Linked DNA regions of Rhinolophus ferrumequinum. The protein of the gene in region 2 purifies or fractionates together with the protein of the main gene of each other region. This does not show direct contact. Links are inferred from orthologs where the notes say so. Each region holds a gene or a part of one and is shown on either strand. Other genes may lie near its edges. The genes, in order: WWP1, SMAD7, RNF111 and ACVR1B.

Evidence for each region.
Region 1: the proteins of SMAD7 (region 2) and WWP1 purify together in Homo sapiens (affinity purification with western blotting; 3 studies listed by BioGRID, with this or other methods). This does not show direct contact. The link is inferred for Rhinolophus ferrumequinum from reciprocal best matches to the Homo sapiens genes SMAD7 and WWP1.
Region 3: the proteins of SMAD7 (region 2) and RNF111 purify together in Homo sapiens (affinity purification with western blotting; 3 studies listed by BioGRID). This does not show direct contact. The link is inferred for Rhinolophus ferrumequinum from reciprocal best matches to the Homo sapiens genes SMAD7 and RNF111.
Region 4: the proteins of SMAD7 (region 2) and ACVR1B purify together in Homo sapiens (affinity purification with western blotting; 3 studies listed by BioGRID and IntAct, with this or other methods). This does not show direct contact. The link is inferred for Rhinolophus ferrumequinum from reciprocal best matches to the Homo sapiens genes SMAD7 and ACVR1B.

The regions. Positions count from the first base shown.
Region 1 is NC_046297.1:1,988,697-1,996,814, forward strand, and holds the start of WWP1 (NEDD4-like E3 ubiquitin-protein ligase WWP1), read right to left. Parts: upstream 3,325-8,118; 5' UTR 3,188-3,324; intron 2,731-3,187; exon of another isoform or gene 2,474-2,730; intron 1-2,473. UniProt on the Homo sapiens protein: E3 ubiquitin-protein ligase which accepts ubiquitin from an E2 ubiquitin-conjugating enzyme in the form of a thioester and then directly transfers the ubiquitin to targeted substrates.
Region 2 is NC_046302.1:40,149,575-40,158,168, reverse strand, and holds the start of SMAD7 (mothers against decapentaplegic homolog 7), read left to right. Parts: upstream 1-5,138; 5' UTR 5,139-5,418; coding exon 5,419-6,034; intron 6,035-7,409; coding exon 7,410-7,463; intron 7,464-8,594. UniProt on the Homo sapiens protein: Antagonist of signaling by TGF-beta (transforming growth factor) type 1 receptor superfamily members; has been shown to inhibit TGF-beta (Transforming growth factor) and activin signaling by associating with their receptors thus preventing SMAD2 access.
Region 3 is NC_046289.1:50,671,775-50,679,342, forward strand, and holds the start of RNF111 (E3 ubiquitin-protein ligase Arkadia), read right to left. Parts: upstream 3,125-7,568; 5' UTR 2,950-3,124; exon of another isoform or gene 2,742-2,949; intron 1-2,741. UniProt on the Homo sapiens protein: E3 ubiquitin-protein ligase. Required for mesoderm patterning during embryonic development. Acts as an enhancer of the transcriptional responses of the SMAD2/SMAD3 effectors, which are activated downstream of BMP.
Region 4 is NC_046293.1:52,177,443-52,185,060, forward strand, and holds the start of ACVR1B (activin receptor type-1B), read left to right. Parts: upstream 1-4,156; 5' UTR 4,157-4,236; coding exon 4,237-4,327; intron 4,328-7,618. UniProt on the Homo sapiens protein: Transmembrane serine/threonine kinase activin type-1 receptor forming an activin receptor complex with activin receptor type-2 (ACVR2A or ACVR2B).

The DNA.
Region 1 (8,118 bases), on a different chromosome or scaffold from region 2:
GGAATCAAAGTTTCTAGAGGTATAAAAGATACTAATAACTTTCTCTGGTTCCCTCCAGGAAGATAATCCTATAGGTGCAGAAAAGTCAATTGTTTACTAATCAAATTATGCTTTAACCATACTGGGAGAGTTAGCTACTTAATCCAAGGAAAAAAATTCACTGACTAGGTTCCAGCATTTCCTTTTCTTTGTAGCTTCCATTTTTACTTGATAAAGGCTTTCTGAATGGAGGCGTATTCTTCAGTAGGGCATACCTCAATAGAGAAGATACAAGTTCTGACAGTTTTTTATTTCACTTGCTTCACTTCCCCCCGCCCATCCAAAGGAATAAGTAAATGATTGGTCTGATGTCACTCTCTATATGCCCAGTTCATTCCTCAGCCTCACCAGCTCTCCCCCGCACATGGAAAACAAGGTACAGATAGTCCAAGGAAAACCTAAGACCCCAAATCACAAAATGTTAAGAACTGGAAGGAACCTCCCAAGGATCATCTAGACCCCACTGATGAGGTCACGTAAAGGCAGTAACAATATCCAATGATGGTAAATCAGTTGCATATAAAACATCTTCATACAAGAAAGCAACCATCACTGTCAATCAACTCCTGATTCCACTTTACCCACTCATGATTGAAATACTCAGGGCAAACACTTAACCTCTTGGGCTAGTTTGCTCTGTAATATAACAGCAAATAAGTCAAAATTCACTGCAAACCACAATACAAGTGTAAGGAGATACTGTCTCTAGGTGTATCTACAGTATGTCTCTACAATAGGGGTTCTTATCAGTAGTGGAAGAATCTGAAGCTTCTATTGTTTTAAAAGGCCCCCAGTAATTCTGAGAGCTGCTTCCAAGCCCACCCACTGGACCAAGGGTTCCATGGATGAGCTTCAGGTGGTCCACGGACAACCTCTAAATTTACAACCACAAAACACAGGTGCATATGGAAATTTTCTGGGCCAGCAGATTACTTTAATTTCATCAAGGATTACTAATCCCCAAATGACTGACAAGTACTGCTGCAAAGTGACAGTCACGTGCCGAAGACGAAGCTTCCATAGAGGTTGCTCAAAATGGTATCACTATATTCTCCCAACCAACCTGGATCAGAATCATAGTTATTTTCACTTTCTTCATTTTCTCTTTCATCAGCAGTTCTGTCTAATCCACTTCCTTCCTCCTTTCCAGTCCTATTCTTACCGGCCACAGCGCAGACACCGCTACCTATGACCACAGCAATCCAGAGGTCTTTCTACCCCCAGGTTCTCTCTATTCAATTCACACAACACAATGTTGCCAGATTGATCCTCTGAAAACAAAGCTTGTAATCGTTACATTGCTAACTCAAAAATCATCTGTAAAACCCCCACCACGTACTAAATCCAAGGTCATTAGCCAGGCATTAAACGCAATAATAAACTGGCCCACTTTCTACTTCTAGCTTTATCCTCCTTGTTACTGGTACAAATACTTTATGTTCCATCCCAGCATAATTACTTGCCTCTCCCCAAATGTATGACGTCTGTGCTGTCCCTTCTCTGCCTGGATTACACCTTTCCCTGCCTAGCAAGGGTCTTAGTCATCCTTAAAACAAAGATTTCGGAAGCCAGAAGCTCTACAACTAACCTCCCTAACCCCACCTTGCCAAACGGGTTGTGAGCTCTACCCCTTCTGAATTTGGATTCTGGATGTAGCTTAACTATCTGTTAAAGGACAAATGAGGCATTTGTGTATAGTCCCATCTGCCCAACTTGTCTGTGAAGGCAGAAACTGTTATCATCCTCATCTTTATATTCCCCAAAATACCGCACAATCGCACGTATGGTAGTAGGTGTTCAATAACTGCAAAGGAGTAAAAGAAATTTCAGACTTGGTGGGGTAAACAACAAAGATTTCTATCTCTTTAAAAGCAGAGACTTTATCTGTGACATTCTCTAACGGGCATGGCCTCCAAAAAACATAACCCTTCCTTTCAGCTTTCCAAAGCCTACGTGTTGCAAAGAAAAACTGTGTGAAAATGTCAGTCAACTACATCTGAAAGACCTCCTCCACATACTTTTTACACTTCTCAACCTGAGTACCTCCCAACGCTCGGCCACTAAGTTTCAATTTAAAAAATATTAACTATTTATGAAAAGTCATCATTTCCAGTCAGAGTTAATTTAGTCCTTTATAGCTAACAAACAAGTCACATAAATAAAAGAATGCCTTTCTTTTCTAAAAAGGTGCATTTTGTTTGTATAATACACCCAGAGACCTAGTGAGACAGATCAAGTGGATGTACACGCGCCGTGTGACCTCTTGCCGAAACCCGCATACAACTGCTCACCAGGTATTTCACGTAAAAACACCAAAGGGCCCGAAAGATAACTCTGGACATTATTCTTTTCCACCACTCCTGCCAACAGCACATCAAAGCAGACACTCAAATCTTTTTGAACATGAGGCTACACAGAAAGATACAAGACTTACCAAATAGAAAAAGAAAGCCACGTCAGGCCCCTGGAAATGATTTTACTTGGAAGAGTAAAAAGGTCACAAGAATAGGTACTGCTCTGCTCTGGTTGAAGGTTTCCTATAATTACGGGAGCGAAGGAGGCTGCACTCCAAATCGATGGAGTGAAGAAAGGACCGTGCAGGGCACAAGCCCGAGCCTTTCCACGCAAGGGGCAAACTACGAAATTCATGTTTGTGCATAAAAGGACGCCAGGAAAAGGTCCCAGTCACCGATGAGATAAGGACCAGTGAAAACTGCAAGGTCACTGGGACCGACCGGGTCACCGAGGTGGAGGTGGGGTTGCGTTGGGGCGCTGCAGTCCGCGAGGACCCGGGAGTGACCCAAACAGCCGGGAAGAGGCGTCCCAAGGCGGGAGCCCTGCGCCCGGGACGGGCTGAGGCGCGAGTCGGGGCACCGGCGGGAAGTCCACACTGGTGTTTTCGGAGCGGTGTCAGGGAAAGGGGGACGACAAGCTGAGGAGGCTGGACAGCCGCGGCTGCAGTCACGGAAACACTTCGCGCCGCTCGGGTATCATTCGCTCGGGCCTGGGCCAGGGCGACTCGGGCGGACTCGCGACCCCGCCCCAGACAAGTCCGGCCCGGCGGGCGGGCAGCCTCCGAGGGTCCCGCCCGGCGATCGGTGCCCGGCCCCGCGCCCCCCGCCCTCAGCCCGCGCCCCGCGGTCCTCACCGACTCCCCGCGGCCTCGCAGCGGCGCGTCCCCCGCGGCGGCGCCTCAGCCCTCGGCGCCCAGGACCGCCATCTCGCCGCAGGCGCGGCCCCGCAGCCCAGGCCGCCCGCAGCCACTCGGATCAGCTCGCGGACACCCGGCCCTCCCCCCACCCACCCCTGCCGCGCGCCGCCCCCGCCGACCCACACCTCCCTCCTCGGGAGCGCGCCTCCCCGCCGGCCGACCCGCGCTGCACCGCGGCCGCCCTGCCGCCGACTCTGGACCGGATCGGGCTTCCCCGAGCATGCGCAGCCAGCGAGCCCGGCGACGCCTGTGGGAAAGTCCGCTGCTCCGGGTCTTCGGGGCGGTCGGGGGACAGGGAGCGCCAGCCAATGGGAGAGGGGGGCGGGGCCCGAGGAGCGGAGGGTGGGGCCTGAGCAGCGGAGGGGCGGAGACTGGGGGGAAGCTACTCAAGGCTGGAGGTGCATGCTGCTGACGTGACTTTCGGGCTGGGGCGGGATGGCGCGTCACCTCAAGTGAGGACCTCGGGGCACCAGCGTTCCAGTGTGGAACGCTTTACAACAAAGCTAGGCTGTTTATAAATAGTCCTTGAACTAGCTGGGCGCTTCAGGAAACCATTGCAAGAGTAAATAATTGCATTCAGCCAAAGACTTTCCAGGCCATTATTAGTCACCAAACTTTTGTTCCCCTTACCCCACCATGAGTACAATGATAAAAGTAACACTGATCAAGTACGTGTGTCATTGTAACTAACCCACAGAGCAGTCCCATAAAGAAGAGTCTGTCATCCCCATTTATACAAATGGCTCGCTCGTTTGCAGAGATGCTGTTGGTTCCTCATGTTGCGTTTAGAGAAAAAGGTCCCACTGCAAATGGAAGTCAGTGGTGACCCCATTACTCACCAGATGACCTTGTCAACAAAAGGTCGCTGCCGCCAAGCCTATGGCAATAGGAGTTCCCCATATGGGATGCCAAGAAAGGAGAAACTTTATTCAGGTAAACAGTTTGCACACCAGGGAGGAAGCCTCAGGAGGAAACCCATAGATCACACACCAGAGACAAAGGGAAACCTGCTTATATGGAGGAAGTTCCCCATTGGTGCCTGATTGGTCTATTTCTATGCAAATGAGGAATCCCAATTTGCACCGTTTGATTGGTCCAAATTGCACTGTCCTGATTGGGCAGAATGATGTGATCTGATTGGTTGTTATGTAACCACTGATTGGTCAGTAAAGATACAAATGAGGATATAGCTGTGTAGCTCCAATTGGGTGGGGCAGGCCTCAGTCCCCTTGGTCAAAATACAGTACCAGGAGCTTCTTTGTAACTTCAGAGACATAATAAAGGCTACGGAGCATGGATTTCTACAATTTTTGCCCAACTGCCTCACCCAGCCGCAACAAATTACCTATAGCTACGCCCAAGTTGAAACCTCTCCAATGTGAACCTCTTCACTGTTTGCTCTTTCCTGTGACCCTGTCCTTGTCATAGCAAGGTTTCCCGCCTTTGCTATTGGCAACAATTCCTCAGCAGAATTACGTTTTAAGTCTTTTCTGTCTTAAATTATCCTTTGACTTTAAAACCTCCTTCTAGTTCTCTCTCTTCTGTCATAACTAAGCTTTTAAAAGAATCATGTACTAGGAACAGCATCGACACTCCGTGAATATTTGTAAGAGTCGGTAAATATCTCTTGTTTGAATGAATATATATTATTTTCCACTCCAATGCATCATTCCCACCCTCCTATGTCATACCTACATGCGAGGCACAATATATATACAATGATTATTCTAAACTACCCATCTGAGCATGTCACTCCAAGGCTTCAAATCTTTTATTGGCTCTTTGGGGCTTTCAAAACAAAGATTAACATTTTCAAGTCTTCTATGTTCAAATACTTGGTCTCTCCTGTTATGAAAACGCTTCAGAGTTCCCTGACTGTGCTCACTGTTCTCTGCTTTACCGAGTACTATTTATTCTAACCTTTTCTTCACCTGTCCAGTTCCCTTAAAAATAAATTCAAGAACACACTTATTATACAAGTATACTCTCAGACATTACATACACACGCCCAGCAGAAGTCTGCAGTCCATGTCCAGAATACATACAGGCCTCCTTCTGCGTCCTGCTTGAGTCAATCTCACTTCCAGCACTTTTGAGTCCTCAGTTTCCCCCTCAGTTCAGCTCCATTCAGAAGCTCCTAGTATTCACCTAGGTCCCTAAGTTGACATCCTTTTATTGTTATATATTCTTTGGTTTCAAATGAACACTATTACAAATAAATATATTTTCATAAATCATTGTCCATGTCCTTACTTACTGTCTGTTTAAATCATTAAAAAGTAATCAAATGAATGAACAGTTTTAGCCCTTTTGAAACATCGGCAAGTTACCTTCCAGAAAGTACTTAGGCTTAGATGTCCCTATTGCGTGGGATCAAAATGCAGCTCTGCCACACAGGTCCACATTCAGACTTTCATGGGTCCTACATGCTTTTATCTTTGTGGGTCTCTTCCTCCATAAAATAATATTAAAAATTATAACTGCATTGACATAAACGTGAACTTACTGATTGCATACATTAAAACGTTTTCTTCAACCTGAACATTCAGTTGTTTTTCTTCTGATTTTAAAAGAAATTAAAACATTTTTTGTGGGCCCCTGAAAGTATAGTCACAATGAGTTGAAATAATTTCTGATGAAAGTCAAAGAAGAAAGTGCCAAATCAGCACCACATTTGAACATCAAGAAGACAAAAATCATGACTACAGAAGAAGTACACAACTTTAACATAGACAATGACAACATAAAAATTGTTAAAGATTTTGTTTCAGTCGATTCAGTCATCAATTCAAATGAAGCCTGCAGCCAAAAAAATTACATGAAAGCTGAGACTTGATAGGGAGCAATGGAAGAATTAGGAAAGATCATCAAGAGCAAAGATGTATCATTAGAGACGAAGGCTAAGAGCATCCACACCCTCATCTTCCCAATTATTATGTACAGATGTGAACGTTGGACAGTGAAGAAGCCTGTTAGGAAACAAATAATAATTCATTTGAGATATGGTGTTGAAGGTGAACTTTACGGATACCCTGGACCTCCAGAAAGATGAACAAGTGGGTCCTAAAGAAAACTAAGCCTGAAACATCACTGGAGGCAGATATGACAAAACTGAAGCTGTCCTACTTTGGGCCCATCATGAGAAGGCAGGGTTCCTTGCAAAAGACAATAATGCTGTGTTAAATAGAAGGCAGCAGAAAAAGAGGACCAAATAGGAGATGGACTGACTCCGTAAAGGAAGTCACAGGCTGAGTCTCCAGGAGCTGAGCAGGCCTGTGAGGACAGGACACTGTGGACATAACTCATTTACAGGGTCTCCAGGAGTCAGAGCCAATTCAATAGCATGGAACACACACAAAAGTACGGTGAGCCTGAGGTACTGTGCTGTGACAATTGGATAAGTCAACCCTGTAGCCACCTATGAGCTGTGAGATTCAGCCAAATTCCTTAAGTTGACTGTGCCTCAACCAGAAAACCGGTATAAGGCTACCATATGATGTTTTTGTAAAAAGTAAATGAGTTACTACAAATAAAATACCTAGCATTACATGGCACATAATCAATAAATTACTATTGCGATATTGTTATCAAATTCCCATAATACTATGTGAGAGTGTATAATTGTCCTTTACTATACCAAATTTATTGAACAAACTCAAAAAGAGTCTGGAGGCTTTGCTAGAAATAAATGATATTTATTCAAGGGTCTTGGAGTTTGCAAACCGGAAACACAGTTCGATGAAAACCTAGAAGTGTTTCAAAGAAGAAAGAAAAGTTAAAAATTTTTAGCCAAAAGTACATTTTTTAGAATTATCAGTCTTGCTTCCTTAGCCCTAAGATTGGTCCAGGACAATTATCAATCAGATGACAGGCAGGATGGTGGATGCCGGGTGGTCCCAAGAATGGGTACTAGGTATGGTCAGATCAGTGGTTTGGATAACAGATGTCATGGGGATGAATACATGAGTCCTTTAGGGGGTCATCAGGTGGCCTGGACATATGAGTCCCCGGGGGGTAATTACAGGGCTGCCTGGAAATCCACATGTCTATTCAGGCACTGACGCAGGACTGGAAAGCTCAAAGGAGTTAAAGTTTCCAGGCGAGTTAGAACAAGAATGGTCTCCTCAGGTCTCAGCCTTCATAATGGTAATAATTTCAGCAGCTTGGTTAAAGTGACTCCATTGTGTATACTCCCTATCTTCACTCCTCAAAGTCATCATGGTATATTTTTATATGGGAAATATGGAATCCTCTTGTTGGTTCGTTGTTCGTTTTCTTACTGGAATATTCGCAAAAAGGCAATTTATATATAATGTAGATAAAAGTATTGGTCTTTTCCATTTTTGTTTTCTTCTATTATATTTTGTTTCACAAGTCCTCTCCTATCCTGAGATCATGTCATTTACCTGCCTTATTTTTTTCGACTTGTTTGATAATTTCACTTTTCCATTAAATAATCTAATCTTTTTGGGGCAGCATCCATTTTGTGGGTCCAACATATGAATTAATTTTTTTCATTACTTACATGTAATAAGATTGACAATGGTGTTAAGATTACCATGGTGTCACATAGAAGTAAAGAAGTAGGATTTGAAATAGAATTTTCTATCCTATCTAAACATCTTGCAAATGAAGAGTTTTGAATCCTTCTGTTATTTTTTTTTAACCCAGTGCCTACATCAAAGTGACATTGAGGTGAAATGAATTTCCTATCTGAATTTCAACAAAAAGTTTGGCGTAACTGGGAATGAAAAATGAGTACTATATGTTAATATCTAAAGACAATGATATACTTTGTCCTCTTGTATTGACATATTTTTGAAGTGTCTTTTTCATGTATGATAGCCTTTAAAATTAAGTATTGAATC
Region 2 (8,594 bases):
TTGTCACATCGGCCTTACTCATGCCCATCTTCCTTTCATGAATCGTCGCTTCTATTTGTGTGGCTGCCAGTTCAGGAGGGCTTAGGTGTCATTCACACATTTTTCAGGGGATGGTTGTGCAAGAAATGTTGATATTTTCCAACACTATTTTGGCCTCTTCAGTTGTTTCTGCAAGGAAAAATCCTTATCCCTGCCTCACCCCTGCCCTGGGCCCTACCAATACACACCTATATGCACCTCTCTGCCCTTCTCTTCCAGGAACCACTGAAATCGAGAAAAGCACTGAAAGGAAAAATCCTGTCTTCCCTGGACAGGAGTGATTTTTTTTTTTTTTTTTTTTGGCTTTTGCTTAGGGTTGCTTGTAAGTATGGAGAGTTTTGTAAATTCTCTTGTTCGCTTTCCTCTTTCTCTCTCAAGTCAGTCTCCCCCTGGCCGTTGTGTAGGGTTCACCTGCTTCTCCTCTACCTCCTGTGCACTCTGGGGCCCTGACTGCTCAAGACCCGGGGCTTGGAGTAATTTCCCTCTGGCTTCCTTTCTCCTCTAGATGCTTAGCCAGCGGTCAGTCAAGTGGCAGCCCCTGCAGTCCTCAGGGGCTGTGATCACTGCCAAGGGCCAGTGATTAAGTAGCCAGGTCTTGAGCTGACTCCATCCTGGTTTGTCATAACTCTGCTGCAAGTTATTTTGGTCTCCATGACTTGTGGCTGCACCATGATTACGGTTTGATATCTATCACCAAAGTGACTAAAAGATGAAAATAGAAGCCACAACAGGAAATAAACAACTGCAAATGAGATATTTTATTCCATATTCCCTGCCAGCAAATGATTAGAATCAAACTCATTCACAATAGTTTGGTGAACTCCTAAACTTTTTCTTTTTTTTCTAAAGGATCAGAATATTTTGAAATGGGGTGCTTGTTAGTCTCATTTGGACCTGTGGAAAGGAAAGGAACTCCCTTTCTAGGCACACCAGCCAGCCAGGAGTTCCTCTACAGCCCAGCTTCTTTCTTGGAAAGGAATAAGAATGTGACGGGGTGGGGCCGGCTCTCAGGAAGGCTTGGGATATTAACTGATTCAGGGAATGCCAGGGAGCTAATAAAGCAGCACCAACCATTGTAGCTACTTGCCCATCATCCACTTAGGGCAGTAAAATGGAGGAGGAAAGCTGTGTAGAGAGGGCAAGATAGGGGTGACGCCTGAATTAAAACACCCACAATTACACTGTATGGGAACATATCTCTGCAAGTGTATGCATGTTCCACCCAGACAAGCTGTGACGTCAGATTCAACTCCTGAAACACCCATTAAACCTACCTGCCCTGTGTATGCTCTGGCCTCTCATCACAGGGTGTCAGCACCATTGGCCAGATTTCCAAGTCTTTAGGTTCTCCATTTAGCCAAGAAGGCTTACTTCAAATGATGACATTTGCTTTCTCTGTTTATTTAAGTCCTTCCTGTCACTTTGCAGCCTGGCCTAGCCTCTCTTAAAAATCAAAGATCTTCCTTCCACAACTAGATTGAAGGACAACGACTTGGAGCTGATGGGCCCTGAAGAAACACATTGTCCCCCAATATAATTTTTTTTTTTTTTTTTAAAGTTAAGATCTTCTAGTGAGGCCTGGAGCACAGAGAGGGAATGGGACCCTGAGAGGGCAGGAAACTTGTCCAGAAAGCTTTTTAAACCCTGCCAAGTGCTCTCCTAATGTGAGGATCAACACTCATGCAAGCTATTTAACCAGTGAGTCGCAGAGCCCTAGACAGGATTCAGATTTTCTGACTTCTAGTCTGACTTGTAAGCTTTTCTAAAATTATACATTTTCCAGACACCTCAAAAATCCCATTTCTGTGTCTTCCATCTTTCCCTGCCTATGCTGATGGGATCACCCACAACCAAATCTCCCCATCCTCCATTTTCTCTTGGGCTTTCTGGGCTGCTATCTTTACAGGTTGCCTCTTTAGAAAGTTACACACACACACACACACACACACACACACACGAAGTTTCAATGCCCTTTTCAATAAACATTTTTTTTTAAATTTATTGGGGTGAATAAACATTTTTATTTGTAACAAAATTATGATTTTATACAATTGCAGCCTATATGGCCTTACAAAATAATGTTGAAAGCGCCAACTTCTTCCCTGTCCTTCAACACATTTCTGCACTGTTTGGCATCTTTTAGGTCAATGAGCTTCAGGACCCCCTTGCCTGGAGATGGTCATGTAACCATTGTTCCTGATTTTCTCTCATTTATTTCTCCAAAGGTGCTTTTGGTGGGCTTGAGGTGAGCGGTCCAAATGCCCCTTTAAGTTCCATTCAACTCTGTTGATTCCTAAATATTTATTGAGCATCTACTGCATGTCAGACACCTTTAAGTTGCTGGAAGAGACGGGGCTGAGCTATAAAGCTAAGATTCATCTGTCTTTTCCTTTTAAGAACGTATAATTTAGCTAGGAAAATTAAAATAGTGCATTTCACCTTTTCTAAAGATTCATTAAATTCCCCCAATGAGTTTCATTGTCCTCCCGATCGCAAAATTCTAAATGACTTTTTTTAAAAAATCTTATTTCACTGAATAAGATGTGAGTTTAGATCACCATGCCAACTAGTGTCCTCATCAATACTGATGCCTATACGTTTAAATTTACATTTCTCGGTACCATCTGCTTTCACTAAGTAAACGCTTCTTCTTGTCCTTTGCCTTACCAATGCTTAACCCATTTCCCTGCAGTTATCTGCCAGCGGGTCTATGCTTCTCTCAAACCTGGGGTCAGGGGATAAACTCTCTGACCTAAGCACCTTGAAAGACACGGGGCCGATCTGGGCGCGGAAACAGGCCCGGTATGCATATGCATATGCTAGGCAGGTTTACTCCAAAGGTAACCTTCCCCGGCCGAGAGGCGGGGTGGCTGAGGTCTTCCGGGCTCCAGAGGAAACCTGCCGGCGGCGGGCGGGCGACCCCCGCCTCCTCCCGCCAGGATGCTGCCCCTTGCAGCTCGTCAGCCGGCCAAATGCATTCCAGAGCAGCGCACAAGACACACTTCTCCAGGCAGTCCTAGAAACCCGAGCCCGGAGCGGGAGAGGGCGGGAGGGAGCGCGCGGCCGCCGCTGAGGTCACATTCGCGCCGCCTTCCAGCCCTCAGCAGCCCGGCTGTTCCCTCCAGTGCACACCTCCCAGGGCCTCCGTCCAGTCCGGTGTAAATGTCTTTCAAATCGAGACAGCGCTGTCCTTCCCGTTCCCTCCCGCGCGGCCAAGGGATCCGCCGCCAAGGCCTTTAAAACAAAACGAATGAATGGAAGCGCTAGGGTGAGCGCGTGGGACAGCCACCGCGAAGCTCCACCAGCTGGGTCTAAATCGGGCCACCGACCGGCTTGTTCCGCTCCAAAACTCGCCGGCGATGCCCGCTGGGTGCTCTCGGGGCTTCCCATTTCCCCTCTGATCCGGCCAGTTCTCAGCCGATTCTGGGAGCTTTTTTGCTCCCCACCTTTATTCGCCCCCCCCACCTATAGTCCCCCCTCCCTGCAGACTTGGGAGGGGGTGGCGAGGGCAAGGGGTGGGGGGAAGAAATAGCTTTTAGAAACCCGATCTGTTGTTTGCGAAACACAATCGCTTTTTTTTTTTTAAAGCGACAGGGTGTCTAGACGGCCACGTGACGAGGCCGGAGCCGGGCGCGCCACTGCGCAGTGGAACCAGCAGAGCAGAGGGCCCGCGGGGGGGGGGGAGGGAGGAGGAGGAGGCGGCGGCGGCGGCTGGGGGCGGGGGAGGGAAGGGGAGGAAGGGGGAGGGAAGGGGGCGGGGGCGGGAGGCCTTGCGGGAGGCGACGAGCCCGGGGCACACTCGCTCGCTCTCTCGGCTCACGGAGGAGCCGTCCTCGAGCCGCGCCAGCCGAGCCAGCCGGGCGCCGTGCTCGGTCCGCTCGCCGAGCGGGAGAGAGCTGCGGGAGACAGAGCCAGCCTGCCGGCGCCGAGCTGCCGAGAGCTCGGCCCCGGAGCCCCTGAGTGCTGCGCGGCGAGCCCCCGGAGGCGGCCGAAGGACCCGAGCGCCAGGAGAGGGCGGACGGGGGACAAGGAAGCTCCCGGGCGCGACGAGGAGAGTCTCGGAGGCGGAGGCGGCGTGAGGACACCAGGGCCTCCTGCCGCCGCAGCGGGGTCGGGGCGAGTAGCCCATACGGGGAGCCCCGGCAGCCAGCCGCGGCCAGGGGAGGGGGCGCCGGCGGCCCCCGCACTAGCTAGCAGCTTGCGCCCAAGAGGGCGAGAGCGCGCGACCCGCTTGGGGCCCGCTGCCGCCGCGCCGCCCTCCCCCGCGCTGTCAGCCCTGCCGGGCGCAGCCGCCGCAGCATCTTCTGCCCCTGCGCCCCCGCCAGCCCCGAGGAAGTCCCCGCCGAGGACCGGAGCCCTAGGGAGCGCAGGAGGAAAGACCAGAGACTCCCCTAAAACACCCAGATGCGGAGACTTGAAGCAGCCTAGCCAAAGCTTTCTGTGGATTAAAAATATATACGATTTTCTTTTTTGGGGGGGGCAGAAGAAAAGGAGAGGAAGATCAGCGGGGATCTGCAAGGAATAAAGGGGGATGTAACTCGTGGATACGTTTTTTCCACCCTTCAAACGTCTTGTTCTACTTTGTAAACATTTTTTTTTAAACCCCAGCTTCTACCGGACGGCCCCCGACCTCCAGGGTGTGAGGAGGTGGTGGTTTTCATTTTTGGGCTTTGCATATTTGGTTCTTAAATTTTGAGAGAGCCTCCTTATTTCGCCAGACATCTCATGCGGGTTGAAGTCCACTCGGCCCCCTCCCCCGAGTCTTCTTGTGCACGGAATTCGAGATCTGGTTACTAAGGATATAGAGGAAAAAAATAAATCGCGTGCCTCCCTTTTTTTTTAATTGCTTGCTTCTCCCCACCCCCAAATTAAGTTGCTTAGCAAGGGGGAAAGAGGGTTTTTCCTCCTTCCAGCCCAGCCGAACGCCTTTCGTTTTTGCCCCCGCGGATCTTCCATGTAGGAAGCTGAGGCTGGCGAGCCCGACACTTGGAAGCCGCTGCGGGGGGGCCTCTTTTTTGGGAGGCGCCGGCCCGGGCAGGCTTCGTCGCCCCCAGGGAAGCGGCAGCCGCGTTCCTCCGGGGTGCGCCGGGGCCCGAGAGCCGCGCACGGCGCGGGCGGCGCGGGGTGGGGCAGCCGGAGCGCAGGCCCCCGAGCTCCGGCGGGCGCCTCCGGGCCCCCGTGCGCGCCCCGGCCTCCGGGAGACTGGCGCATGCCACGGAGCGCCCCTCGGGCCGCCGCCGCTCCTGCCCGGGCCCCTGCTGCTGCTGTTGTCGCCTGCGCCTGCTGCCCCAACTCGGCGCCCGACTTCTTCATGGTGTGCGGAGGTCATGTTCGCTCCTTAGCCGGCAAACGACTTTTCTCCTCGCCTCCTCGCCCCGCATGTTCAGGACCAAACGATCTGCGCTCGTCCGGCGTCTCTGGAGGAGCCGTGCGCCCGGCGGCGAGGACGAGGAGGAGGGCGCGGGGGGAGGCGGAGGAGGAGGCGGCGAGCTGCGGGGAGAAGGGGCGACAGACGGCAGGGCGCATGGGGTCGGTGGCGGCGGCGCAGGCAGGGCTGGCTGCTGCCTGGGCAAAGCGGTCCGAGGTGCCAAAGGTCACCACCATCCCCATCCCCCAGCCGCGGGCACCGGCGCGGCCGGGGGCGCCGAGGCAGATCTGAAGGCGCTCACGCATTCGGTGCTCAAGAAACTGAAGGAACGGCAGCTGGAGCTGCTGCTCCAGGCCGTGGAGTCCCGCGGCGGTACGCGCACCGCGTGCCTCTTGCTGCCCGGCCGCCTGGACTGCAGACTGGGCCTGGGGGCGCCCGCCGGCTCGCAGCCCGCCCAGCCGCCCGCGTCCTACTCGCTCCCCCTCCTGCTGTGCAAAGTGTTCAGGTGGCCGGATCTCAGGCATTCCTCGGAAGTCAAGAGGCTGTGTTGCTGTGAATCTTACGGGAAGATCAACCCCGAGCTGGTGTGCTGCAACCCCCATCACCTTAGCCGACTCTGCGAACTAGGTAAGAAGTTGTTCTGCGCCCACCCTCCCCTCCCCCTGGCGCTCAAAGTGGGGGAAGAAAAGCCCCGTGGGCTGTGTGTTTGTGCAGCCACCTCTCCGGAGGGGAGTGTACAGTCTTTCCTGGGAGGAGACTTGGGGACTAAAGTAGAGAAGGAACACGGGGAAACTGGAAGGGCATTCCCTGGGGGTTCCCTTCCATTTTTTTCTCTTCTGTTGCCTGGAGGGGGGCTATAAGCAATGTTCATGCACGTTCTGCAGACACGCGGTTAAAAATTAGACGCCCTCATTTCCGGATCAGCTAGGGGGTGCACAGAGAAGTAGGGGTCACGCCTCCCCCGAACCCGGAAAGGCGTTGAGGTGTGTGGCCGAGTTGGATTCGCTCCAGGCCCGCCAAGGAAGGCTGGGAGAAGCGAGTTGTAAAGGCTGGGAAGTCTCTGCTCCTTTAGTAAATAAGGAGAGTCACGTAGGGCACAAGTGGCCCGGATACTGCCCTGGCTGCGCAGCTTTGGGGATTTGGGTTAGGTTAGGATGGGAGGATGAACTGGGTATCTAGTCTGAACTCTGTAAAGAACAAGGAGTCGGGAAGTTGGATGTCCCCTACTTTTCCTTTCCTCTAGCACAGGAAAGCACAGAAGTGACCTTAGGGTGGTCTGCCTGCAGCGCCTCCGTGACGGTGCTGCCCCTAACTGCGCTGGGGCCTGGACTGAGACCCCAGTCTCCTTCTCTGTGTCTATCCAGCCTCTTCCATGGCTTCTCTTTTCTCTACGTCTGTGTGCGGTGCGGGTGTGTGTGTGTGTGTGTGTGTGTGTGCGCGCGCGCGCGCGCGCGCCTGCACCCGGGATGCCCAGAGATCCTCCCAAGTTACCAGCGCATTTTGGGGCGCGTCTCCCGGGTGGGCTGGGAAAGCGGAGCGCTGCATTCCCCGCGCGGGTGCAGACCCGAGCCGCGGGGAGCGGAGATGAATTGCGCCCCTGGGGGGCGGGCCGCGGCGGCGGGTGGGGGGAGGCGGAGGACGGTGGATGCGGAGTCCCAAGTTCGGGGACGGGGAGGGGGGGCTCTGTCGACCCCGGCTTTGGAAACGGTGAAGTGCGCGGCCTGGCTGAGTCGCGGCCGAGCGGGTAGTTTCCTGCCGGGCAGACTGTGCGCGGCGGCGGCGGCCGCAGACGTGGAGGAGCGGAGCGCCGAGGCTGGCGCCAGGCGGCCTCTTTTGTTTATCTGACAGCTAAATATCAAGGCAATCACCGCCTCGCGGCCCTGCCTCCAACCCCCACAGCTAAGACAAACAGTTGGGCTAAAAGAATGCCTCTGTTATCATAAGTTTCTATCTCTCTTTCTCATGGCTCGGCCTTTATTTTTTCTTACTTTTTTAATTCCAGAGTCTCCCCCTCCTCCTTACTCCAGATACCCGATGGATTTTCTCAAACCAACTGGTGAGTAGATAATTTTAAAAATATCCTTCCTCTCTTAAGTTAGAAACGGAGCCTCTAGAACGCGGATTTTTTTTTGTCCCAGGCAGCGGCTTCTTGGGGAGGCGCTGGGTTTTCGCGGAGGTGATTATAGGTTTCCTCTGTTAGAAGTTTGGTAGATTTTTCTGTTCTTGTGGCTGGAGATTATATTATATACGTTTTTCCCCCCTCAAAAACGTTATCTAGATATATTTTACAATTTGTTCCTTTTTCATATATTTGCACGCCATGACCGAAGTTGGCTCAGATTTAACACATGGAATTTGACCCACACAGAAGTGTCTGGGGAACCAAATAAGATAGGTTGATGGGAAAATTCGGAGACTTTGTGAGTGCCAGAGGAGTCAGTGGGAAGAGTGGATAATTTCAGGGAAGGGAAGGCAGTTTTTAAAGGTGCAGAGAAGACTTTGGCTTGGAGTAAGAGGTTAGAAAATTTAAGAAGTAAAGGCAATACCTCTGCCCTGGTGTCCCCTGCAAGTCAGCACTCCTCCCGTGTTTTCTCAGAATTCTTGGTAGGTGCTATGAAAGTTTTTAGCATAGCTCTGCCTGCCTGTTGCTTTGTCACCGGATGGCACAGGGCCAGGGCAAAAGCTCATTTGAGACTGGCACCAATCCTCTTGCGGTTGTCTGCATTCAACTGGCTGGCAGTGCAGGGGCTCGCCCTATGGAGCTGGTGGGGGTGGGGGGTGGAGGAGCAGCAAAACTGGGACGTGGGGGTAACAACAGGGATGGATGGCTCCTGTGTCCTGGAGCCCCTTCTTACAGTGGGAGATTCATTAGCTGAAAAGTAGGGATTGTAACTTTGATACTGTGTGCCTTGTATGCTGGTGCCTGAAAAATGCAATGTTTGTGACTTTCTTTTGCCAAGCTTCTGGGAGAAGTGAAGGGTTGGGCCTCCTTTTGCTCTCGGAATTCTACAGGTCCTTCTGCCTCATGAGTTTTGGCTGTTGGGCTTTCCCCCCCACTAATTAAAAGTTCTGCTGGGGTGTTGTCATAAATTAAATACTTTAATGAACAGTGTAACCGAAGCCCACAGCCCCCCCTCCCCCCCAGCCCTCCAGGGACACCACCGCTCCCTCAAGTTGGGAAGGCGTT
Region 3 (7,568 bases), on a different chromosome or scaffold from region 2:
TATTTTCTCAAGGCACTAACCACTACCTAAAACTATTCTGTTTATTATCCGTTTCCCCCAGCTAGTGTTCACTCCACTAAGTGCAGAGTGCCTTCTTCACCGAAGACCAAGAACAATGCCAAGAACATGAGACATTCAATAAATACTTACCAAATGACTAAATGATAATGCAGTACCTCTATTAAAAACGTAAGCTCAGTAATATTTGTTTTTAAACATTTGTAGCTCACTCCTCATGTAATGGTTTAGAGTACTTGCAGAAACCTGGGCCAGCTATTTGCAAGAATCTGAGATACAGGAAAGAAAGGACAGAGGTGCGTGGCATTCAAATGTAATTCTGGACTTTTACTGAACAGTGATCATAGGTTTCTGAAAGAAAAGTTATTCGGGATGATTTAAAGAGCATTATCAAGAGTAAAATAAAGTTTCATTTTTTAGTATCATATAAGAGCTATTAAATCATGACTAATATCTACAATGGGACAGAACCATTACCTGGAACAACAAACATGGCTTCACCATAGTTTTCTTTTCCTAATGTACAGTATGTATCATGAAGGAATTTATACTCTCAGTATAGCATTTCTTTCTGGAGATTGGATCACGATGAATACAACAATAAACACCAGAAACACCTAACTAAAAATACAAATCATTAAATTTAAGACCTAGGGACAACTGGCTATCTAGCCGACACTTCTCATTTAAAAGTTGAGAAAGATCTGAAGCCCAGGATGGTTATCAATAGTTACAGATCTAATGACTAGCAAGCAAAGCTAGATCTAAAATCCCGATGTCCTGTCTCTAGCCCTATACTCTTTCATAACATGTCACCAATAGAATATTAATGTCAAGTTATAACATACTTTAATTACTACCATTTTTAGTATTGTCATCCCCCTCCTTTGAAATCCTAGCCCACTGGAATAAAAGTCAAAACAGAAACACATATAATTATGCTCTAAATAAACCATGTTACAGAAACTCTTCTTTGATAATAAAAGAAACATCTAAAAAAATCTAATTTGATTCAGTGAGATTTTTATTCCACATTGTAAAGTAAAAATGACTATTTAGGAATATCTGCTGACTATACCTTTGTTTTAGACATGTCGTAAACTGCCATTCTTGTATTTTAAAACATCACTATAGCTATTTTTCAATTATCTGTAGAAATAAAGTACTGAAGTAAAATTTGTCAAGTATAATGTATTTTTCACCAAAATGAGATTATATCCTTCTTCAAAAACCAATTCCGGTGACAGAACTAACATGCAAGTGACCAACAGACACCAAACAAAAGGAAAAAAGTGACGGAAGAATCCACACATATAAGATAGAGCACCCCTGATGAACAAGGAGAGACTCTTTCTAGTTTTTCATACAATATTGTTCAGACCGATTCATAAACACGCTCACTAGTTCTTAGAATACTACTCTGTATCTTAGGCAGCAAACAAATGAGCAAGAGAGATGTCATTTGTCCTAAGTTAAATGACAAGAGAGACAGACGAATGTAAAATAATACAAGGCTTTAAAAAAAAATTTTTTTTAAGATTCTTTTTAGAGTAAAGGGCTTCTTTCTCATCCTGTTTTGTCTCACAACCAAGGACTGTTTAGAATGAGAAACATGGTTTATTTATGACATGAAAATTTTTACTGAAATACATAGAGTAACAAACTATCAAAATGCAGATCTTCACCCTTATAAAGCTAAGTAAAACCATTATTATAGAACTTCTGTGTATTATTTAAATTACATTGTAACATTTGAAAGCAATGACACAACAAAAGTGGGAAAGGAAATGGAACTTTAGCTTTTCCCGTCTGTTCTTTTTAGTTGAAGATGTCCCTAAAACAAGAAAATTAAACATAAAATAACAAATGAAATAAAGTTTGGATTAAGTTAGGTTCAATAGGTGTAAGAACTATAAAGTCTGTTAGCTGGCATCTTACCACTCCAGAGTCCTAAATTCATACTGCACATAAATCAAGAAACAGGAAAGCATACAATACAATGAATGGAGTCATTCCACACTACAAACATGAACAAATTAAATGAATACCCTATACTTCCTGGTATTTTTTAAACGTTAAAACTTAGACTTGCGTTAAGAAGTATCTGTAAAGATCTATTATAACCTACTTAACAACTATTGTGAAAACCCTCTATTTCTGCCGTATAGAACAGCTATTTCCACTACAGCATTGTCACTGATTGATAAATTATCTAAGGAGAATAAGAATATCAAGCTTTTTTTTTTAATGACCAAGCCAACTCTATAGAAAATCTAACGCGTCTGTATTTCTGCTGTTCCGGGGACGTTCCCTTGATCACATAAGAAGGCAATTCCCCAACCGTGAAGGCTGACTTAGCGCCCTCCAACACCCCGGGTGCGGGTTACCTTCATCACTCCATTGTCAAATCGCACACCCACGCCTCGGTCCTCAGCCCCCATCCTAAGACTCTAGGTAGAGTCGAAAAAGAAATCCCCTTACCCACATTCCCTTACTGTGTGGGGTGTGGGTGTGTCTGTAGACGAATGCTTCGCTCAAACACAATTAGATCTTCTGCGGAGACCCAGACCCTAAGTCATTACGCAGCCAGCAATCACCGGCCGGTCGCCGACCCCAGCCTTCCGCGGCCGCAGCCCTTCCTCTTTCTCCCCTCCAGGCCGGCCCCTCCCCCGTTGCGCGCACGCGCGGCCTCCAATCGATCCCCTCCCCCCTGGCCCCCTCACCTTAATCATTAGCCACCCTCTCTTCCCAGGGTCCTGGAATCACTGGCCCAGGAAGGCAGACAGGAGATATAAGGGCGGAAAAGGATGTGTCGAGAGCCAATGATCTGCGCTTCAGATCTCGGCCTAATAGGCCCCTATAGTAAAGAGCAGCGTCTGTCACCGCCACCAAAACTGTACGAGCTGCAGCGCCTGGTTCGGCCCAGCTCACCCGGCTTGGGTTCAGATGCCTAACTTGGTCCCACAGGAACTCCTTCCCCGAAGCTGCGGGCGTTTCTTTGCTGCACAGACAGAAAACCTCGCCACCGTCGCCGCCACTACTGCTGTTCTGCCGCTACCGTCGCCGCCGCCGCCTTACCAATCCCTCCTCTACCAAGCAAGCACGACACTCCGAGGCTTTACGACAATTCGGAAAGTGAGAGCGCTGTAGCCTTCACGCCTCTATTAACATGTTTGTTTCTGCGCTTGCTCAGATTCTTGTTTCTCACTGCCCCGCCCCTTCCTTCCCGGCCCTCCCCCTTTGTACTCGCTTTATCGGTCTGTTCGTGAAGCTGAATGGTGTCCTGAAGCTTGTAACAGTATTTTATTTTCCCTGGTGATTGTGCGTTCGGTATTTAAGCAAAACACTGACTACATAAGTCTTAGCTAATTTTTTCGTAACTAAAAATTACAACTAACTACAGAATTATTGACCATATTTACGGTACAATTAAACAAAAACATCATGGTTTAGTGTTTAATGACAAATGATACCCAAATCATACTCGCTGATGACAAAGATCATGGCACCTAACTGTTAAGATGAATCTGCTTCCAGAATCAGATAAAAAGTGGTCATAGATATCCTGAGAACTGTCTGTGCAATCATACACGCCTCCTTATTTCATGAAAATCAGTGGACAGCAAAAGTTTCATTATGTGCATTAGGAGGATGTAGGCTTTGGAATCAGACTTCCTTTCAAATCCCAGGGATACCAATTAGCTGTCTGATGTATTAGTCTTTTATAAATCTATTTCCACAAAAAAAAAAAGTCAAATACACCTCAATTTAGAAAAAGCATATGTAAAACAAAAAATTCTCAATTTCCTCCTCTATAAATTGAGATAATATTTACCTCAAAGGGTTTTTTTTGTGAGATAAAATACATTCTATATAATGCTTCAGACATTATTTACCAATTAAGTGTTTAATAAGTATTAATTCCTTTTGTCATAAACTTTTTCTCAATACCTTTTTTGTTCACTCATGTTCTCAATTTTGTTCAGTGAAGAAAATATTTTAAAATAATAAGAAGAAAGGATAGCAGATTGTGTGCGGAAACTAGAAGAGCACTGTACTAGGAATTTTCCTCAATCCTCCTCTTTTCTCACTCTAAATGTAAAATTCTGTCTGGACTTCTCATCTACTGCCATGGTTTTAACTGTTATCGACTCTTAACTTCTCAGAGTTGTACATTTCCAGACCTACTGTTCCTATATTTCCAGACCTAACATTTTTTCTAAAGCTCTTGCCAGCTTTTCTAAAGCTGTTCTCCTCAATAAAGTAGGTTCTAGCCACATATAGTTGTTGAGCATGTGAAATGTAGCTGGTACAAATTGAGAAATGCTGTAAGTGAAAACCATATATATTCAATTTTAAAGATACAATATAAACATTGTAAAAATCTCAATAATTGTTAATGTTGATTACGTGTTGAAATAATATTTTGGATATATTGGGTTAAATCAGTGGTTCCAAGCCTGGATGATTTTGCCTCTCCCCCCAGGACATTCAGCAATATCTGGAGACATTTTGGTTTTCACAACTTAGGGGGGGGGGGGTAGCTACTGGCATCTACTAACAAGAGGCCCAGGGATGCTGCTAAACATCCTACAATGCACAGGAGAGCTCGCCACAACAAAGAATCACCTGGCCCAAAATGTTAATAGCACAGTTGAGAAACCCCAGGGTTAAATAAAATATACTATTAAAATTAATTTTACCTGTTTCTTTCACTTTTTAAAAAATGGCTACTAGAAATTACATTTGTAGCTCACATTATATATCTATTGGACAGCACAGACTGATCTAAACCCATATGGCTGTTTGTTATATATGTCATTTCCACTTTAATCTCCCACAAGCATCTCTAACACATCATGTCAAAAATAATAAATAAATAAACAAACAAATAAATAAATGGAGGTATATTGTATTTACACCAGATCCATCTCAGCCTTTCTTGCCTCAGTCAACAGGACCAAGTTATCTAACTAGAAACCCCAAGGTCATCTTTGATTACTCCCTCTTCCTCACTCTCTACCTCTAATCAATCTATTATATAAGTCCTTCCATGTGTGCCTCTCAAATATCTCAAATATCAAAAATCAACCCATTCCTCTCCATACTCTGCACTAGTCTAGGTCTTTAGTATTCTGTTTAACAAACATTTATCAAGTACTTAGAATGTGCTAGACATTGTGCTGGGCACTGTGAGTACTAAATAAATAATCACTGCCTTACTTGCAGTGTTTTATGAGACCCAGAAAGCAAATCTATTATTTACACTGTCATGTGGAAGGGATAGGATGGTGTAATAGTGCTCTGAGAATACAAAGGTAGAACACAGTAGTCAAACCAGCAGGATATTTAAACTACAGTGATGTTTAAACTAAATTTTGCAACATTAATAAAAATAGTTAAATAAAACAACTAAAGGGCATTCGAGGCAGAAAGATCAGCACATGCTAAGGTACAGAATCCTGTACCTGAAACAGCATGAAGCAAATTCTCTACTAGGAGCTACTGAATGTATCTTGGGGAAATTATCAAGAGTTGCGAGAAAAAAAAGTAGATAGAAATGGACTAACTTAAGTAAGATTGTGTTTGCTAGGATAAGGTATTAGAACAATTTTATACTTAAAATACTGGGAGCCATTAAAGGAAATCAATCAGAGCAATAATAGATTTGACTATTAGAGATCCCATTTATAAACCAAATAGAGGGTGGATTGGAGAGGAGCAAGAGTAAAGGAGTGAAGACCAGTTGGAATGGCAGGTAAAAGTGAGGAGGGTGGTGGAAATGAGAATGAAAAGGCACAGATTCAAGAGATAAGAAGACTTAATAACTAATTGGATATATGGGGTGGTAGTGCCATTTAATAAAGAAACACAGGCTTGCAAAACCCAACTTTTTGGGTTTGGGACTTTTGGTTGGGGTCAGCATGAGGAAAAAGGTTCAGAGAAAGAAAACAACTACTCCTTTATTGGGCAAGTTGAGTTTGAGGTATCTAATATTTACTCAAAGTAAAGATTCCAGTAAGCTATTGGATATATGGGTCTGGAGCTCAAAAAAGAGGTCTGGACTGAAGACAGAGATTTGGACTCTAACTTCTATGTGATAGCTGAATCGAAATTTTTGAATGAAGTCACCCAGAGTATAAGTGAGAAGAGACAGATATCTGGGGAAGTCTGATATTTTAAGAGTCGAAGAATGAAAAGAAGTTCCAGAAGTATATGGATAGGCCAGAGCAAAGGGAGAAAAACCAAGAGAAGTAGGAAATAGGCCAAGTAAGAAAAAGAGTTTCAGTATCAAAGTGTGTTATCGACAATATGAACTGTCCATTAATTTGGCAATAAGGATATCTGTAAACAAGAGCAGCTTCAGCAACTGTCCTATATTTTAGAACGGGATTTCAGCTGGGGTGATTTTGACCCACAGGGGTTATTTAACAATGTCCACAGATATTTTGGAAAGACGCTACTAGCATCTAGTGAATATAGGTCAGGGATGCTGCTAAACATCCTGCAATGCACAGAACAGCCCCTCACAACAAAGATTGATCTGGTCCAAAATGCCAATATTAAGTTGAGAAACCCTGGTTTAGAAAGGACTGAGCAGTGTAGTTAGACAATGACCAGTACTTTTCATGAAATTGGTAGTAAATGGAAAAAGATAGGACACATATCTAGAAGGATAGAAATGAAGGGAAACACGTCAGCATAGAAAGAGAGATGAAAGATAATGAAAATAAAGGGATGCTCCATGGAGGCACAGGAAATGGGATTCAAAGCTCAGATGGAAGAACTAGCCTTGGATAGAAGAAAGGAGAGTCCTTTCATTGAAACAGGTGAGGAGGAGGAGGAAGTGATTGTACAAATGAATTAAGTGTGTTAGCTTCAGGGGGAACATTGAGGACTTGGCTCATTGAATGACCTTGATTTCTCTGTGAAATGTGAGGTAAGGCCATCTGCTAAGATAACAGGTTTTTGAAATGGCGGGGTGGAGAGTAATTAGAAGAGAGAGATTTTAAAAATCAGAATAGTCACTAACATGACGGCAGGGCGGTTATTAGATGGGCAACAAATCAAAGGCGGGAAGCCCAGAGCAGAAAAGGCGTGAGACTGAGAAAACAGGTGAAATGAGGTTGTATTTAGGGGAATAATGGTAGATTATTGGGGTGGGAGATCTCTCTCACCTGAATTACATACAATAATTTCTTGATTTCTATGCTGCAGCTCCCACCACTATCACCATACCACTCCCGATTTAACCTTAAACCACTATCAGAATATGGCAGAAACTGCTTGGGACACTAAGTTGCTTAAAATCCTTCAAGGACTCTCCATCACCATCAGCATAAAGACCTAAGTCCTTAGCTTGGCAAATAAAGCTCTTCAAAATTCAGATTCTGCAGTGCTATTTCATACCACCCCTTCACACCCTGTTCCCTGCCCCCGCACTTAGACTTCTCAAATTTCTTATAGTTCTCCAGAAAACAATGTGCTGTTCCAATATCTCTCTGCTTTTTCACCTACTATTCCTTCTGTCTCAAAATACCCTCCCCCTC
Region 4 (7,618 bases), on a different chromosome or scaffold from region 2:
AAAGTACACTTCTATGTGCAGTTCCATGTCTATTTCTCCAACACTACCTTTCAACTCTATCACCAGTTCCCTTCACTCTGCACTCCCTGGGGGTACTGCCTTGCTGCTCTTGGTTTCCCTAAATGCCAGGCAATTTCACCTCAGCATCTTGCTCACACTGCTCCCTCTGCCAGCAACAATCTCCTGCCTTCCCTTGCCCCAGACAAGCCTGTCTATCTAGGGGACATTCTTTGCTCTTCCAACAGTCAGCTGTAGTATGGCCTGTTCGTGAGATCTTTCCCAGCTCCTCGGCTTGTCTCTGCAGAGTTGAATCATCCATGTCCTAAGTGCCCCCATGGACCCTCTACAGGTGTACACTATAGCAACACATTGTTGCTTTTTAAAATGCTTGTCTCTAGTAGATTGTAAGTTACATGAGGGCAAGGATCATGACTTACCTGTTTATATGTTGTGCTGGGTATGGTGTAGGTGTTTAACAAGTGTTTGTAGAATGGATGACGGAATATGAGCTGCTGCCTTCGTGGGATTAATGACCCTGCTGCTTGCTCACCAAGACAAACTGTGCTGGATCCCCTAGGAGGTGGGGTGTCTTGATGCACTGCAACCAAGATGGCAGCTGTACCACCAGGTGGTCTAGTCAGTGGAGCCTGGGGAGTAAGACTTTTTCCTGGAAAAGTGAGTCCTGGCAGCTCCGGGGAATCTCATGACAAAGGGACAGAACAGGGCTGACTAGAAGTTCATAGATTGTGATGTGGGTCCAGCCCTAAGATTAAAGGGACTTACAGAAATGGACACTTTGCTGAGGCCTTCAGGGATGGTAAGAGAGCCAGGCTGCACCAAGGAGCACAGGTAGATTGGACACTTTGTCCCCATGCAGCTTGGGACCTAAAAGGCAAGGTAGATGCACCACCTAGGAAAGCTCTGACTTGAGCAGATACCCCAAACTCTCAGGAATAAGATGTGAAGAATATAACAAACCTCCCTCTCCCACCCCATCAAGTCGAATTTCCCACCTTCAGCTGGCTCCTGAAGACCAGTCTCTGAACAAGCACGAGATGCTGCGATGTTGAAGAAGCACAGAACAGGTAGGCTGTGGCTTTAACACTTAATTATATGGGAGCCTGGGCAAGTCGCTTACCTTCCCTAGGTCTCAGTTGCCTCGCCCATAACTGTGCACACCCTGACATGCCTCAACCACTTCATAGGATTGTAGTGAAGGTCAAATCACCATCATAAGAATAGCAATTCTTTTTATATCACTTCCTGTGTGTCAGAGACTATGCTAGGTGCTTTACATACAATATCTTTATCCATCCTCACAGCCTATGAGATAGAACTATTATGATGAACTCCATTTTATACATGAGTGAATTGAGTTTTAGGGAGGTGAAATATCTTGCTAAAGTCAAATGCTAGCAAGTGGGCTGATGGAGGTGGCATTTGGTCTGTGGACCCAGCATTCTGGTTCCCTGGGCTGTATATTCAGGTACGCGGCTGACCTTGCAGTTTAGGAGGAAAGCTACTACAGGTGTCCTCTGGGATTCTTGGTCCTGCAGCCACAGTGGCAGCCCTTAGCAAGTTTAGGGAAGAACAGTCCCTTCCCCATGGCCTCAGAGTCATGCTCCTGAGGGGTCAGCTTTCTCTTCCCAACCACAGGGGTTGGTGAATAGACTGTTGAATAGCGTCCCCCCAAAATTCATGTCCACCCAGAACATGTGAATGTGATCTCATTTGGAAATAGGATCTTTACATATGTAGTCAAGCTATAATTACTTCAACTTGGGTGGCTGGTTAGCTCAGTTGGTTAGAGAGCAGTGCTCCTAACACCCAGGTCACCAGTTCGATTCCCACATGGGGCCGTGAGCTGCACCCTCTACAACTAGATTGAAAACAATGACTTGACTTGGAGCTGAGCTGCGCCTTCCACAACTAGATTGAATAAAAACAACGGCTTGACTTGGAGCTGAGGGTCCTGGAAAAACACACTGTTCCCCAATAAAAATTAAAAAAAAAATTACTTGAACTTGGGCCCTTATCCAATGACTAGTGTCTTTATAAGTAGAGAAAAATTTGTACAGAGATACAGACACAGAGGGAAGACGACCATGTAAAGACGGAGGCACAGATTGAAGTTATGCTTCCACAAGCCAAGGAACACCAAGGATTCTGGGAACCACCAGAAACTAGAAGAGACACGGAAGGATTCTTCCCTAGATCCTTTGGAGAGAACATGGGCCTGCTGACACCCTGGTTTCAGGTTTCTAGCCTCCAGCACTGTGAGAGAATACATTTCTGTTATTTTAAGCCAGCCAGTCTGTGGTGTTACAGCAGCTCTAGGACACTAACACCGTCACCTAGCACTGGGCCCACCACAGCTGGGAGCCCTAAGGGTGGGGTAGGGCAAAGTTTGGGAGATGAGTTAAATGGACTAGACAGAGGAGGTGCCCATGTGGGGGGCAGTGAGGGAGAACAGTATAAAAATAAGGTGTTTACTCATCCAGCTACACTGACCCACTTGTAGATAGTGCCTTTGCGCGACTTTGTACATGTGTCGGGGGGAGAAAGAGTTGTGTTTGGGGAGTGTGTCTGCAGTCTTGTGTATTTTCTGCTGAGGATGGGTGTTCTTCAATTGGTGACAGCTTACAAGTTGAGAACTCCATTTGAGAAACTCCTCCTACCACCCTGTTGTCATCATCATCTCCACCCCTACATCTTAGACAATGAAATTAGGCTTAAAGAGGTTAAAAACTTGCCCAAGTTTTCACAGCCAGTTAGTAAGAAAAGGAGAATTCAGATCCAGAACTGTGGCTCCAAAAACCTGACCCTTTTCACTATCTCAAGCTAAAGAAAGTGAACTCTTTTTCAGAAAGATATGGTGATTCAGCTTACTTTTCATAAGCATTTTTTTCTAAATTTGAAAGTAACACTTGTTTATTTATAAAATATTTAGGAAACACTGAAATGTTTAAAGAAAAAGTAAAAAATTATTCTGGCAATAGCTACTGATAATACTGGATAATTTCCTTCCGTTCTTTTTTGCATAAAGGTAGATATTATCAATAAAATTAGGCAAATATTGTAAACAGTTCTGTATTTTGCTTTTTCTTCTTAATTTTTATTACAGTTATCAGGGTGACATTCGTTAGTAAAATTATATAGGTTTCAAGTGTACATTTCTATAATACATCATCTATATATCACATTGTGTGCTCACCAGTGAGAGTCAGTTTTCCTACCATCACCATGTATTTGACCCCGTTTTCCCTCTTCCACCACCCCCTTCCATTTTGCTTTTATGTTTAACATGCTCTCATTTATCATTATCATTCAACATTTTCTCATGTCATTAGTTTTTATAAAAATAATTTTTAATTACTAAATACTACTCCATCATATGAATGGGCCGTAATTTGTCTTGTTATTGTCTACTTAAGTTTCTAGCTTTTTACAACGATACACATGCAACAGTTAACACTTTTAGTAAATATTTGTCCTCATCTCTATTATTTCTTGAAGACAGATAGGGGATAATACCAGGTATGAATATTTTAGGGCATTTGATACATAATGCCAAGTTGTTTATCAAAAGGGTTCTACCTGCCAGCAGGATAGAAGTGCCTCATAAGCACCCTTACCGAGACTAAGTACTATCATTAAAAAGCCTTGCTATGTTCTGGAAAGGGGCATCCCATGATTGATCACACAGGTTGCTGAGCGTCCAGAGGATTGCAGGGGGAAAATCAGTTAGCAGACGGTTGCGAGGATCCCGGTGGGACGTGAAAGGGCTCGGGGCTAAGCAGGAGGGGTGAAGGGAACGGAAAAATGCACGGGACTCGTAGAACATTCGATGCGGGGGAGGGGGTCGGTGCTGATAAGATAACCTGCGCTGGGTGGGGTGCAGAGGAGGGCCGAGGCTGCGCGTTCTGCTCCGCCTCCTCCGCGTCGCGCTCACACCCACCGGTGAAGGGGGTCGAGGGGCGCACCCCTCCCACCCCTTTAACAGGGACACTCCCCTTTAAGGCGGGCGCCCGCGCGCACCCGGCCCCGCCCTTCGGGGGCGCGCGCGGCGGCCGCAGCGCCGGCTCCGCCGGGAGCGCACGTGCAGGCGCCGGGCGGAGGAGCGGGAGGCGGGAGCGGGGCCGCGGGAGGAGGGGAGGCGCCGGGGGCGCGCGCGCGCGCGCTGGGCGCTGCTGGGCTGCGGCGGCGGCGGCGGCGGCGGCGGCGGCGGCGGTTACTATGGCGGAGTCGGCCGGAGCCTCCTCCTTCTTCCCCCTCGTCGTCCTGCTGCTCGCGGGCAGCGGCGGGTCCGGGCCCCGGGGGATCCAGGGTGAGTGCCGGGGCGGGGGGCGGGGGCCGGGATGGAGAGGGCCGGGCGAGGGCAAGGCCTCACGCCGCGGCGCCTGGGCTACAGCGCGCCCCCTCCCCACGCGCACAATATGGCCGGGCGGGGGGCGCGGAGGAGTCGGGGTGACCCCCCTGTGGCTTCTCCCGACCCCCCGAGGCTCGGCTGCCCAGCCGCGACCGAGCTCGCGCCGGACCCCTGGGGACCCGACCCTTCTTCCAGATGGAGCTGGATTCGGGGAGCTCTCGGGGGTCGCGCTCCCAGCACCCTCATGTTCCACAGAAGGGAGCGCAGGCTTCCTTCCCCCAAATTTGGAGATCATGTTTCTGCCCCTCCACTTGTCCAGGGGCGGCGGTCTTCATTCCCTACCTCCAGATGCTCCTGGGGGACGCCTTTTCTCCCGCCAAGATTGTGGGGCAGGGGCGATGGGGTCTTAGCTTCTCCGAGGTACCCTGATGTTGAGAATCCTTGGGCATCTCAAGTCAGAGTGGAAGGGGTCTCGAACCTTTCCTTCAGATCCTGCACTTGGGGCGTCTCTTCTCCCTCCTACCTCCCTCATGTTCTGGGGAAGGGAGTCACATTTCCCCTTCGCGCGGTCCCTTGAATTCAGTGGGGCAAACACCCCACCTCCAGTCCACACGCCCCGTGGAAGCTCTTTGGAGGAATAGGGACGAACAGGCCCCTCAGCCGTTTTGGAGCCTGCCTTTGGAGTCTCTCTCACCCTGGGAAACCTAGTTCCAGAACGGGCAATCAGCATCTAGGTGTATTTGCTTTCCATCTTGCCTCCCCCACCGCACCCTAGGGGGCCCATTCAGTTACTCACTTCATGGATGCCTTTGAATCCTAGAAATTCTAGAACCCGCCTTCAACCCCCAAGATTATTTAAAGATCCCACCTCTGGACGGGCTGCCTGGCCCCTGGTCAGTACTTATTTGCCTTCCCACACCATCCCTCTTCCCCACCCTTCTCCCCCCACCAAGTCCTCCCCCCTCCCCCAGCCTCACCTTACATCCCCCACAGCCGGCTCTCCATACCACCAGCCGCCAGCCCACTATGGAGGTGGTTACCTTTCTGTGGGACCCTCAGCTGGGTGTGTTGAAGAGGCTTTGGGGGCCTGAGAAGAGCAGATGAAATCCTAAAATATTTAATTGAAGAGAGTCGTCCCCAGTGTGTTTTGGCATTAGGGTAGCAGATGAAGGTTATATTTGGCGGTTATATTGAAATGATTATTGACCCACAGATGGATCTGGGAGAGACTGTCAGGATTGTATTCGCTCCGATGTACAAAGCCTGCTGCTTTGACTTCTCAGCAGCCCCTAGCCTTCCAGCAATGGGAGATGGAGTGTGTGTTCTGTGGCTCTCTTCGCCACTAAAAATAATGATTCTCAGGTGGGTTCAGGCTTCTTTAATAGACCAGACAATCAAGAAAAGACATTATCCCACTTTGGAGTCTCAAAAACAAGTTCATTATCTCCAGGTTTGATATTTGTTCCCAGTGGGGTAGCCTGTGCAGTGGGGTCTTTGTTCACTGGCTAATGCTTCTGTTAAGCACCTCGTGTGTGTGCCTGGGTTTCGCTGCTCTGTGCCTGGTAATATGCCATGGGTCTGATCAACATGGTGAAGGTGTGTGAACACAGCCTGACGATGGTGGGTAAGATCGTGGTTTTTGTGAATAATATTTGCTGGGCCTTATTGTGGGCCATGTTTTTGGAAAGGGTCATGTAATGTTATTTCTCTAGTGGGGTGGTAAATAAGGAGACTCGGCCTTCAGGTTGTCATTTCATATGAGTATGAATAAATCTTTAAATTCCTTCCATAGGAATTTTTATCTTGTCTCTACTATATCCAAGATTTTTAACAGCCATTTCTCTGTTGATTTAGTGTAGTGTCTGTGGGGCTTTTCTTGTTGTGAGCCTAGTTAAGAATGTTTAATTGATAATCCAGCTGGTTCTGAATAGGGCAGAGTTCATTTTTTTTGTAACCGTCCTAAAATGGATGTTTGTTGGGGTGAGGATGGGTGGTCATAAATAGGGAATTAGTTTCTTTTTTTGGTAAATTGGAAATTAGGTTGTGTGTCCAGCAAACATTCTCGAAGCCTTTAAACTTCTTGGCCAGACACTACAGTTTTTTCCGGGACACATCTAGTTGCCAATAGTGCATGCTACAGAGACCACTGTTGCAAAAGGCTTAAAATAAAACGTCAGTTCTGGGAAAATCGAGGCTGTGGGATAACAAGAAGTTGATTGCTTTCCTCCCCTGCATTTCCTCTGTCATGCTTCCCTAGGTGGGCTGGAGGAGTGGCAGAGCCAGGCAGCTGATGCCTGGTACTTGGACATGACATGAGGGCAGCAAGGGATAGGTGTTTCTATTAATTAGTGAATTAATTTCGACTTAGGAAAAGGCCAGTGATAAGGAGAATGAGTTCCAGGTTTTAAACAGCATCCATTTGATAGATGTATCGTGTTTTTAGGCCTAGCTTTGGAATTTTCACGTTACTATTTAAAAATGTAAAATTGCGTTAGTTAGTAGCAGGAGAGCATGACATTCATTTCTTAAGACAAAAGCAACAAGGGAGACATTTGAGGTTCTGATAGGAACATTTTGAATTTCTGTGAGCAGGCTAAACATCTCATTTCAGGCCAAGTCTTGTAATTTTGTTGAGTGGACATGGATTTGAAGTACAGTGAAAGTGAACTCTTAAAGAGAAAAGGGGAATCTCTGATTAGTTTTATTAAAAGAGCTCCTGGAACAGATATGATTAAAACATAGTAAGATGGTTAAAGGTTACAGCCAGATGGAGGGAGGAGGCTGGTTTTCCGCCCCAGAACTTCGCTCCCTTACAGGTTGTCCTTGAACAAGTCACTTAACCTTTCTGTGACTGCCTCGGTTTTCCCTCTGTAAAGTAAGGAAACAGTCTGTGTCGCTCTGATTGGGACGTTTGTGAGACTGACTTACTGATAGCCAGTTGGCTGGGAGGTATTTTTAGACATAGTTTCTGACTTCAGTGAACAAGCAATGCTGGGTTACTTTTTATCTTATGGGGCAGAATAACATACCCTGGGGATTAATGGAAGCACCACGTGTCACAGTGTGGTTAATTTCTTCTTATTTGTGCATTTCTGTAGACCGTGTCAGATTTCCTCCAGTTAATTTCTATCTTTTGACAGGCTCTTACATCGTAGACTGGGCAGCATACCTGTGCTAATCAAAGGCAGTCGGGAGGGAGTGACCTGCTTTAGGCTTTATTGGTTTGGCAACGTTTTAATTCTTACGCAA